3 linked regions of the Sus scrofa genome follow. The main gene of each other region encodes a partner of the protein of the gene in region 2 in a complex. Links are inferred from orthologs where the notes say so. Each region holds a gene or a part of one and is shown on either strand. Other genes may lie near its edges.

Region 1 (3,575 bases), on a different chromosome or scaffold from region 2:
GAATGGGGCTTCCCTCCTTGGACTGGCACCTGTTGGCCAGGCAGCCCCCACCTGTGGAAGCTGTCCACCATCTTGAGTTGGCCCCGGAGCTCCTTCTTGTTAAGGTGATCTAACATGCGGGCATCCACCAGCGACTCCATGAAGTAGCTGCGGTACTGGGGCAGCCCCAGGCTGGGCAGCCAGTCGTTTCCCACCCACTCGTGGTTCATGTCGCCATATGCCAGGATCTGGGGCCACGGGCAGGTGGGGGAGGGGTCAGGGCCTCTGACCCCTTCCCAGGGATGTATGAAAGGGTACATTCACCCCCCCATCCAAGGTTGTTCTTTCTCCATTCCATAGCAGGACAATGGCCAATCGCCGCTCAGGACAGTGGACAATCCAGAATTGTCTCTTTCTCCTTCATAACGACAGCATAGACCCTTGTCTACTGGAAAGTGTGGTCCTTGGACCCACAGCATCACTATCTCTTGGGAACTTGCTGGAATTGCAGGATCTCAATTCTAGCTACTCAATTCTAGGCTACTGAATCGAAAATTCTGTATTCTCACAGGATTCTCAGGTGCTCTGAGATGCATGTTAAAGTTTAAGAAGCACTAGTCTAGCATTGTCCCAACTCGGAACAGTGGATCCACCCAACACCACTACTCCAAGTCAGGACAACGGATTCTTCCAACAGAGCTCTCTCCCCAACAAAGGATAGCGTGGCTATCCACCACTCTGCACTGTCCCGAAAATACTAGGCTAATTGTCTACCTGACCCAGGACGATATTCTGGGTCAACACTAAGCCCTTTACGCCTCTAAACATAAGGAAATAACCCAGACCCTCCCCTAATGGAAACAAAGACCCGACGTAGCTCTTCTACCTCAGGTTAGTTCACACCTCTCCCCTCTTGAGAACAAAATGTAGCTCCTTTTCCCCAACTTCTCAGCCTGACGGGCCGTCCCCTCCCCAAATGCTTTCTCTTTTGCCCAGAGCCTGAAACAGCCCCTGGAGCCCCGCAACCCACCATAATGGAATGACCCGTGCACCACTATCAATGGAGCAGTCGGGCTTCTGCACCGACCCCATGAAGCCACAAGGACAGGCCAGAGCGGAGCTCCGCGCAGCCCTCCCCCCGCCCCGCGGTGGTGATGGAATAATCCGGCGAGGGTGGGGGCGGGGCTCGGAGAAGGAGGGGCGTCCATGCAGCGTGCACAGCCTGTTCATGCGCCCACGCCCCGCCCCGCGCCCCCTACCTGCTCCCAGCTGATCTCCTTGGTCTCCTGACCAGTTAGTGGGAAGAGGGGAGAGAAGGGGTGGGTTAAGGAGCAGGCGGAGGAGGGTGGGAGGGACGAACAGACGGACAGACAGCCACAGACTCCCTCCCACTCCTCCCGAGGGAAAGTTAGTGCCACCCCCAGGGCCGCCGGCAGGGGGCACTCACAGGCTTGGTCGTCGCCGTCAGGGACTCCATCTCTTCGTGTGTCATCCACACGTTCCCTGTGGACTGAAGGGCGAGGGGTGTTAGGGAGATTGAGAGAGGGCTTCTGGACCAGAGAGGGGAAGGAGGTCGTGCTCCTGGAGGAGACGAATCAGGCCTGGGAACACATACATTTCTATGCGGAATAAAATGATAAAATATTAAAAGGCAGTAAATGCCATGGGAAATAAGGATGGAGAAGAGTCTGCCTCCTGCGTAAGAAAGACTGAGGGTTGGGAATAGAGGGGAGGCAAGGAGACCCCACTGCAGGGATTATCCAGTTAAGAGACTGCGGAGCTGGGTCGACCAGATGGACCTGGAGGTGAGCAGGCCCATGATTGGCTATTCTGAGGACAGTAGGCGGAGCCCTGGGGCAGAAAGGGCTGCGATTGGCTCCTGGACACTCACCGTGCGGGAGGAGGCAGGAGCGGAGGGTGAGGTGAGTGAGACCATCTCCTGGATGGCGAGGCGCAGCTTGAGCCGGTGCAGTGGGTTGCTGATGCCGATCTCACGCTGGATCTCCGTGTCTGACAGGTTGGCCATGATGGCACCACTCTTGACATTGGCCCGGCAGGCAGCCACATACCACGCAGGCATGCCTACCCAGAGCTGGACCAGAGAGAGGCAGAGATGAGGGGAGACACACAGAGGTGCGAGAGAGATGGGGAGTGAACGGAGCAAAAGACATTGAGAGAGGGACATGGGGAGACCCAAAAGAAGGGGAATAAAAAAAAAAACAAAAAACACACACAGAGATGGGAAGAGAGGCAGAAAAATAGAGACGGAGGATCCCAGAGAGAAACATGGGAAAACACGAAGAGACAGCGACATCAGGACCGAGGTGGACAATGGCCAGAAAGACACGGGCGAGGGGAGAAGGGAAAAGAGCAACGGGAGGATGGACAAGAAGCCTGACCCCTCCGGGGACCTTACCCTCCCCCTCCCCCACCTCTGGGGTGTTTGGCGGGTTCCATCATCCCTAATGGTGTCATCCTCAAAAGGGCGGGGGCTCAACAGTCAGGATGGTTCTGGGCTTCAGTACCTCCAGCCAGGAGACCACAGTGGGCCCATCCCAGGCAGCAAAAGGCAGGCCCTGGCGGCAGGCCTCTTCCAGAAGTTCATGCCTGGGGAAAGGGGGCCAGGGCAGGAGCTCTCAGGGGTAGAGACACCCAGCCCTCTTGGGTGGCCCCCTTTAGCAACCCCCCCCACACACACAAAGGCACTTTATGAATGTAGAAAACATAGCAAAAGGTTCAAAAAAATTACACAGGAACCTCTGAGATCCTCCCCGCTCCCCGCACCAATCAAGAGAAAAGAGAAAAAAAGGAAGAAGAAAGAAGGAAAGCTCTAGGAGTTCCCAAGTTGCCAAGCAAGTTGAGGAGCCCAGACTCTCTCCCCATCCCGGAATTTTCTTCTCACATATGAGCACCAACCCTCCACACACACACACACACACACACACACACACACACACTCACACTCACTCACTTCCTCTTGTTCCTTCGATCCTTGTCTCCTGGGCCTGTCAGCTTGGCTAGTCCCAGAGGATCAGCTGCCAAGGTCTCATCTGAGGGCGTTCCAGCTGGAGGCAGGGAGGAGCCAAAATTTGGAGAGTCCAAAGGGGAGTCAGAATCTTTGATGCCAGGGGTGGGGGAGGGAGGGAGGATGCCAGGGAAGCAGAGGCCTGGAGGGATTCGCAGATGAGGCCACACGGAGGGGATGATAAAACAGACAAGGACCAATGACACCTCCTGGGCAAGGAATTGGAGAAACCCCCAAAATGGGGCTGGGTTCACTGGGCTGGCCTTGGTAAGCTGGCCATGGTGTGCTGGTAGACGACGACTGGCTCCCTGGGGAAGCAGGGAGCATTTCCTGATTTGTAGCATTTGCCAATTTCCGTGGTGTAAATTACCCCACCAATATCAAGCTACCAATGGGATGTCAAAGCAGCTGATAAAATGCCTAAAAATATAACTAACTTGGATTTCACAAGCCAGACAAGCAGGCGCTAGGAATATCGGGGGCCCTGTCTTTAGGATGCTCCTCCCTCTCTATTTTAAAAAAAAATAGGGAGTTCCCATTGTGGCTCAGCAATTAATGAATCTGACTAGCA
Region 2 (3,553 bases):
GCACGAGGCATGGCAGTGGCCGGGGCTGGCCCCGCCTGCCCGCCCTCAGTGGGGCTCTGGCCCAGGCCCCAGGGCACAGATCAAGTGGCCTAGGCCTTTTCTGTGGGGGAGGTCTTTCCCAAAAGGTGGGGGAAGGGATCGCTACCCACTTCCGTGGAAGTAGCTCCCGATGCCAGGCCGCCAGCAATGAAGGACAGGAGCCCGGGGCGGGAGGAGCAGAGCCGGGGTGACAGCAGTGGGGGGAACCGAGCCCAAAGGCGTCTCAGCCCCGTGCTGCTCTCAGAGCACGGGCTGGCGAGACGGGCGCAGGCCGGAGCCCCCTGGAAAGCGGGCGCCGAGAAAGCAGGTGCCCCTGGCGGAGAGACGGCGCGGAGACCAGGGGCGACACTGGGGCTTAAGGCGGCGGACGCGGAGCCGGCTTTGGTTGGACGAGAGCCGGGGCGCGCGCCCCGGGCCTCCCCTCGGCGCGCTCGGAGGCCGGGCGCGAGGGACAGAGGGCGGCAGGCCGCAGAGCGGTGGAGGCGGGGTGACGCGGGCGGCCGCCGCCGCGAGGAGCAGCTCCGGGACCCTCAGGCCCGCGCTGCCGGGCGGGACAGTCTGGGGCTCCGCGCAGGAGCGGCCGTGGCCCCGAGACCTGGCTTAGCTCGCACGGCCGAGCAGCTCCTTGGGCTCCTCCAGGATGGTGGGCACCTGCTCGCTCTTCCGGGATATCTTGGCAGGAACGGAGGCCAGGGCGTCGTCCTTGAGCCCCTCCAAGGTGACTGCACAGGCGACCTTCTTGTTGGCTGCAAGAGAAGACAGGAGACAGCGGGTCCTCAGCGGCCGCCGCGCCATTCCTCCCAGACACGCGGCCAGCAGCCGCGCACGGGTCCAGCTCAGAGGCCTTTGTTTTGCAGGAGGGGAGGAGAGCCAGGAACCCGGGGCAGAGTCCTGGGGGGGGGGGTGGGCAGGGGACAGCAGGGGAGGGCGCAGGGGCACAGCGGCCTTGCTCCTTCCTGGTGTGAAGGGGGCCCAGCCAGAACGGGGTCCGAGCATCAGCAAGTGTAAAGCACAGAGCCAGCAAGTCCTCGAGTCTGTTCTCAGCAGAGGCGTCTGGACCTAAACACACGCCAGCGTGGTCAACAGTATTTTCTTAGGTTTTCTTGGCAGTTGCCAGGAAGCTCCCAGGAGCTTTCCTTCAGCCTGGGGCAGGGGGGTCCCAAGCGGAGGGCCTGCAGCGGGCGGCCAGAGAGACTCCCGCAAAGAGGAGCAGCAGCCCTGCGCTGACCTGGGAAGATGCTGCCCCGGCCGCTGCCCAGCCCGTGGGCAGCCAGGCGCTTTCCCACCTCTGCCAGGGACCAAATGCCAAGGGCCCTACAAGGTGTGCGTGAGTGTGAGGGAGGGGGAGGGAAAGGGGGACAGGCTTAGGCAGAGCCGGGGTCAAGGACGGCCCGTTGGACACCTGCAGCGGGCGAAGAGATTGCGAAGCTTCGGCCGCCTTTCTCACTTCCACCCACATGGGAAGCGAAAAGCCACCAACCCATGAGCTTCTGTCCCAGCTGCGGGGAGCTGTCCCCAGGACCCGCAAATACACGCGCGGAATCCAGGTTTGTGGCCCAGCATCCTCCACAAGAAGCCTGGTCGTTGGGACCTGGCCCTCTTGGGCCCCCGGCCTCTGCCTCCACCCCACAAGCAGCCTCGAGGCTGCAGGGCCCAAGGGCTGCCCGCCTGGGTGCAAGAAGCCAGACCCCGAGGCTACGGACGTCCCACTTCCAGTCGTGCGAGGTGTCTGGGATGAGCGAAGCGTGGCGACCCAGCAGGGCTGTGGGTGCCGGGGGTGGGGGAGGCCAGAATGCGGAGTGACCGCTACGGCTGCTCCTGGGTATGGGGGTTTCTTTTGGGGTGAGGGAACGTTCTGGAATCAGGGGTGGCGGCCGCAGAATCTTGTGAATATGCTAAAAACAACCGTACACTTTAAAAGGGGGAATGTTACACGCTGATTTGTGTCTCAATTTAAAGCGGGTGGGGAAGCAGGGCCCAAACCTTCGAGCAGCAGAGACCCGAGACAGAGGGCCTGCCTGCCGCCTGCGCAGAACGGAGGCCCGGGGAAGGCGTGACTGTGGGTGACTGTGACGGTGACGGTGACCCAGAGCAGGGCAGGGCAGGGGTTTCACACGAAGGTGGAAGACGGCCTCAGGGGCTGAAAGGCCTGGGAGGCCAAGGGGCCCCTGGGGACCAGGACGGTTTCCTACACGCAGCGAGCCCTTCCTCAGACCTGCCGAGTGGCTGCTCCGGTTAGAAATCCTCCCTCCGTCTCCACCGCCCCACCTCCCAAGTCCGCAAAGGCAGGGGCTTGATGAACGCGCGGCTGCTCCTGGGATTTCAGTCACCAGCAGCAGCGAGAAGGCTCTAACTGTGTGCGTGTGAGGTAGCATCCGACTCTGACCCGGGAAGGAGCTACGGTCTCCAGGACACGGGCAGAGTCAGAGCTCGAGTGTGGACGGCCTCCGGCTGCTTCTCTCTTGGGTCTCCTCCTCGAAGAAGGCACCAGCCGAACCTAAGCAAGCCCGTCTCAACCTTCTTCTAGATCGAAAACGCTTCTGATGCATTACAGACTTCCTAAGAACGGAGAGTGGATGAGGGGAAGTTGGGAAAGACCAAAACCTCTCTTTTGTCTTTTTAGGGCCCACACTTGTGGCACACGGAGGTTCTCAGGCTAGGCGTCAAATTGGAGCTGTAGCCACCACCACAGCCATAGCCTCGCCAGATCCAAGCCGCGCCTGCGACCTACAGCACAGCTCATGGCGATGCCGGATCCTTAACCCACTGAGTGAGGCCAGGGATCGAACCCGCATCCTCATGGACACTAGTCAGGTTCATTAACGGCTGAGCCACGAAGGGAACTCCCCAGGTTTCCTCGTTAAGCCTAGAAAGCAGGCGCACTGCGGATGGACCCGACGTGGCCTAAGGTCGGCATCGGGGAGAGAGGCTTTTGTTGGAACTGCGAACAGAACTGAACAACTGTGGCTGCCACTCTGGCTTCAGGGTCACAGTTGCCCTCAACAGCTCGACTAGCCAGAAAATGACCTCTCAGAGCTTCTTCCTCACTTGGGTACTTTCTAAGACGACTGGAAAGTAGCCACAGCAGCAGATACACCTTGGGACCGTACGGGCCCTGGGCGGGTTATTCACTCCTAGGAGGCCCGCAGCCGGTGGGGAAGAGCTTGATCCTGAGCCACTGCTCCAAGCTCTCCGAGGCCAGGTTCCTAGACGGGAGGGGTGAGGTAAGACAAAAAGCAGGCATTCACGCTAGCTGCATCAGAAAAAGGCAAACGATTCGGACGAAGCTATTCATAAAACACAGGCTCGGAACTACTGCTACTAAACCGGAAGCGCTCTTGTTAATAAGCTTCCTTAGGGAAGAGGGAACTAGGGCAGACCGGGCGCCGTTACAATCCTGAAAAACTCGTGATTGCCTGCAGCTCTCCTCAGTCTAACTCCTATCCGACTTGGACAGAGGTCGAGGGGAAATGGCACTGGCCCAGGAACCCTCCTCTCCAGACCGGTGGTCACT
Region 3 (4,138 bases), on a different chromosome or scaffold from region 2:
TGGAACTGTAAGACAGCAAGTACAAAAGATTTCAAAGTACCCAGAGAAAAAGCACAGACCATCCATAAAGGCACAGGAGCAATGATGAAAATCAGAATGAATGAAATAATATCTTCAAGGTGTCGGTCTTACACTGTAAATCCAATCTATTTTTTTTTAAGTGAAAGTAATATAAAGACATTTTTAGATAAAACCAGCAAGTTTGCCATCAAAAGACCTCCACTAAAAGAACTTCTAAATATTTACTTTAGCAAGAAAAAAATGATCATAGAATGATGGTCTGAGATATGAAATGGTGAGTAAAATAGGAAATGTATAAATACATGTGTGTAAACATCTCTGTAAAATAATAGTCTGCAGAGGTGTGACCAGACTTAAAGTGTTCTAAGGTCCTCAGATTGTCTGATTAGGGGGTTTAAGATATTATTTAATTTAAAGCTTTGTTCTACTAAATATGCATGGTAAAATTTCCAGGGTAACACCAAAAGAATAGAAATTGAACATATAAAATTCCACATGAATGAAAAATTAAAGGACAGATTGCATACTAGACAAAAACATTTTTAAAAAATGAAGTTGAAAGTCCTAATTTCAGTTAATTAAAGGTTTGAAGTGGTCTTAATTAGTGTTTTACTGTTTCTCCATAGTTTCAGTTCCTACCCCAGTGTTTATCAGGTTGATTACATCTTCACAATCAGAACTTCTTGTTTCTTGGTATTTTGCTAAAATGGTGTGCACATGGACTTAAATGGGCTCAGCCACTCCTTGACTGATACATTGAAGAATCTGGCTTAACACATAGTTACTGTTTTCCTAAATAAGAATAAAATATTTTTTGAAAGAATGCATAATAATGCATTCCACATCTAAATAAGCTATGATTATTATTAGCTACATCTGGATATCTGTATCAACAACAGAGTTTTGACTTTTGTCTACTTCTGCCCAGACATCACTATTATCACTGCAGGGATCAATTACCCTGAAAAACGGGAGAGAGAGATACAAATTAGTACATTTTCTCATACTGATACTCTCTGGGACTTAAGTTACTTATACTGCTAATCCTAAAACTCACTTCTACTTATACCTTTTGAAACACTTTGTGGTTAGCAATATTATATGAAATAGAGACAGATCATTGCATACAAACAGAAAATGAGGCAGCGTGGGCCTAAGCTGGCTGTAAAGAAAACAGGCACAGGATTCTTTTACTATAGTACTGAAAAGAGACAGACAGTAGAACTTCTTTGAATATATCATCTCAAAATGTAAACTGTAAAACCCAGTTAGTCTTTAACACAGATTTATTTTTCATTGTTGTTTAAAATTTACTGTATAACAAATAAAATTTATTGTATGCAATTGTGGAAAAGAACACTGTTGGAAAAGTGGAACAATAATTTAAAAATGTTATATTTTGAAAAATGATTATAGGAGCTCTAAACTCTAATGTTGGAGTTCCCATCATGGTACAGCGGAAACAAATCCAACTAGGAACCATGAGGATGAGGATTCGATACCTGGCCTCGCTCAGTGGGTTAAGGATCCAGCGTTGCCGTGAGCTGTGGTCTAGGTCGCAGTGGAGCTCAGATCCGGCGTGGCTGTGGCTGTGGCGTAGGCTGGCGGCAACAGCTTCAATTAGTCCCCTAGCCTGGGAACCTCCATATGCCATGAGGGCATCCCTAAGAAGAGACAAAAAAGCAAAAAAAAAAAAAAAAAAAAAAAAAATTCTTATGTTTTACCCAGTGTTGTTGTTTTACCCAGTGTGTTTTAGAATGTTTTGAGATTTGAATATCCAGAACATCCAATTAGTGTAATCCTTTTGCTGTTTAAAGATAACAGTAAAAGAAACAATGGAATGCAGTTATTTGCATCTCTTTGCTATAGTCTAAAAATTAAATCCTAAAAACTTCAGAGTAGATTAATAAAAGTCAATTTCAAACTATCATCGTTTTTCTTTTCTCTCATTACCTTTACTATTTAAATTTATTGAATTATATGATGTGTACAAAGCACAAATCATAAGTGTGGAGCTTGACAAATTCTTACTATGACAATATTGTGTTATCAGCACACTGCTATTAACTTTTAAGTTGATAAACTGGTAATATTGAAGGATTAAAATCATCAACGACCACCACAAAAAAGTAGTAAACAAGAATGAGAGTGTAAATCAAGTGAGAGGCACACTTGCAAACACGGAACAATTTTTGACACATTTTAAAACAAATTTTCTGTAACATAAGAATATGAGAGAATTCATTGTCTCAATCTGAATGGAACCTCACTTGGGGGTTCTCTTACTGTGCTTCCCTTTCTGCAGGAGTTGTACCTTTCAAAGCAAACAGTAGGAAAAAAAAATACAAGCTTCAGAACCAATTAGATTGCTTAGCAACATTCGTCTTCTTAGTTACACCTGTTTAATCCTCCTGTCACAAGTTGTGACCTTACAGGATAATTTTATAAAGTTGAAAATCAACTTTTCAACGTTTTTAGACGCTCTTTCGCTGGTTTACAGGTCGTTTTGCTCATTTAAAATTGAAGTTGTGTAGGAAGTCTCCTAATTACTCTTCTAGTCATAGCGCCCAGAGGTTAATAAAGACCATTTGAGATTCTCAGAGACTCTACCCATGATTTCCCTTGTAAATAAAAGTCATTATCACATCTGGGTCCTGAAATTATTTTACCCGTCGAGAACGGAAATATGACCTGTTCATCCAGTAAACCCTTTCTTAGATTTTAAAGCTCTTTGCAACTCAGGGATGTCTTCGACCCATTAGTAACTTTCCCTGTTACCAACCAATAATTTACATAGGTTGCTATTTGTTTTGTTCGGAATTTACAAGCAATTCAGCCACACATGATTAGCAAAATTAAGAGGGTACTTTTTGTCAAAGAATCTACAGAATGAGAGACACCTGATACCCAAATTAGAAACGACGAAAGATCGTCAAAGCTCAGAAATGTTCCTCAAAGCCAGGAACATCCGCTCTGATTTCAGGTTGTCCGAGCGCGGCCGCTTGGCAGACTTAATGGCTGAGAGGCAGAGGAGTCCAGGGAAGAGGGTCCCTCTGGGGACACCTAACATAAGCGTGGGCGACCCGGCCACCAGCGGCCCCCATCACAAAGAGGAATAAACGCTCCGCATCCCGTCACCAGGGCAACTCTGAAATCCGACACCAAGGTTCAAGATTCCGCATCTCCGAGCCTCCGGACGCAGAACAGAGGCATTTCACGGTCCAATATCGGAGACTCCGAGGCGTCCCACACGCTGCTGTCTCTGAGGTGCTGACTGCCACGGAGGAGACGCCCTCTCCCCAGGCTCGGGGTCCTAGGCTTACACACCCGCAACGATCCCGGAAAACCCAGACCTTGCCGGTAGCACGTGGCAGCCGTGATTGTCCCGACGGTATCCCTCCGCGCCCCCCTCAGCCTCCCCCTCCCTTCCTGGGACCCTCCGAGTCAGGACGCCGCGGAAGGATCGCACGCACGTGCGCGCGCACGCCCCGCCGGGACCGCGGAGTGCTTAGGGAGCCGCGGTGAGAAGCAGTCTACGCTGCCGCCGGCACAGCAGCTCCGCAGCATCGTGCCGCTGGTTAGTTAGCCCCGCAGTTGCGGGCGGGCGGCCGGGTAGGGCGCGCTCCGCGGCTTGTCCCTCATCGCCGTCCCCGCGTCCTCCCTCCGCAGCTCCTCGGGGAGGGGGGCGGTCGGTGCCTGCGCAGAGCCGCCTCCTCCCCGCCCCCGCCCCGCCTCCCCCCGCGCCGCCGCCTGCGACCGCCGCCGCCGCCGCCGCTGCGCCTGCTGCTCCTCGCCGTCCCCGCTGCAGTGCGAAGGGCTCGAAGATGGCCGGTTGGCAGAGCTACGTGGATAACCTGATGTGCGATGGCTGCTGCCAGGAAGCCGCCATTGTCGGCTACTGCGACGCCAAATACGTCTGGGCAGCCACAGCTGGGGGCGTCTTCCAGAGCATTACGGTGAGGACCAGCGGCGGCCCGCGTTCCCATCCCCGGACCCGAAGGGGCCGGCCCTGGGGGCCGTAGCGCGGGGCCGAGCCATCGGGAGGGCCGCGCCGGCAGGTGTGCGAGGCGGCGGGTGCTGAGGATGCGGCTGCCGGGCGGGCTGAGAGGCCGAGGCC

The links.
Region 1: the proteins of DIAPH1 (region 2) and PPFIA3 are in contact, whole or in part, in a crystal structure (PDB 4UWX), measured with the Mus musculus proteins. The link is inferred for Sus scrofa from reciprocal best matches to the Homo sapiens genes DIAPH1 and PPFIA3. Residues at the interface, in NP_031884.1 of Mus musculus: Lys252, Ser255, Ala256, Ile259, Gln307, Asn310, Ala311, Thr314, Pro315, Ala316, Glu317, Arg322, Gln352, Cys354, Val355, Glu358, Gln359, Glu362; in NP_084017.2 of Mus musculus: Pro719, Arg720, Arg723, Leu724, Arg726, Met727, Ala728, Ala730, Leu731.
Region 3: the proteins of DIAPH1 (region 2) and PFN2 are in contact, whole or in part, in a crystal structure (PDB 2V8F), measured with the Mus musculus proteins. The link is inferred for Sus scrofa from reciprocal best matches to the Homo sapiens genes DIAPH1 and PFN2. Residues at the interface, in NP_031884.1 of Mus musculus: Ile635, Pro636, Pro637, Pro638, Pro639, Pro640, Leu641; in NP_062283.1 of Mus musculus: Ala2, Gly3, Trp4, Ser6, Tyr7, Asn10, Ala28, Tyr30, Trp32, Arg108, Met131, Tyr134, Leu135, Ser138, Phe140.

Annotation. Positions count from the first base shown.
Region 1 is NC_010448.4:54,330,979-54,334,553, reverse strand, and holds part of PPFIA3 (liprin-alpha-3), read right to left. Parts: intron 3,045-3,575; coding exon 2,951-3,044; intron 2,587-2,950; coding exon 2,505-2,586; intron 2,072-2,504; coding exon 1,871-2,071; intron 1,490-1,870; coding exon 1,427-1,489; intron 1,266-1,426; coding exon 1,239-1,265; intron 228-1,238; coding exon 52-227; intron 1-51. UniProt on the Homo sapiens protein: May regulate the disassembly of focal adhesions. May localize receptor-like tyrosine phosphatases type 2A at specific sites on the plasma membrane, possibly regulating their interaction with the extracellular environment and their association with substrates.
Region 2 is NC_010444.4:143,159,542-143,163,094, forward strand, and holds the end of DIAPH1 (protein diaphanous homolog 1), read right to left. Parts: intron 786-3,553; coding exon 640-785; 3' UTR 544-639; downstream 1-543. UniProt on the Homo sapiens protein: Actin nucleation and elongation factor required for the assembly of F-actin structures, such as actin cables and stress fibers. Binds to the barbed end of the actin filament and slows down actin polymerization and depolymerization.
Region 3 is NC_010455.5:90,183,144-90,187,281, reverse strand, and holds the start of PFN2 (profilin-2), read left to right. Parts: upstream 1-1,303; 5' UTR 1,304-3,845; coding exon 3,846-3,977; intron 3,978-4,138. UniProt on the Homo sapiens protein: Binds to actin and affects the structure of the cytoskeleton. At high concentrations, profilin prevents the polymerization of actin, whereas it enhances it at low concentrations. By binding to PIP2, it inhibits the formation of IP3 and DG.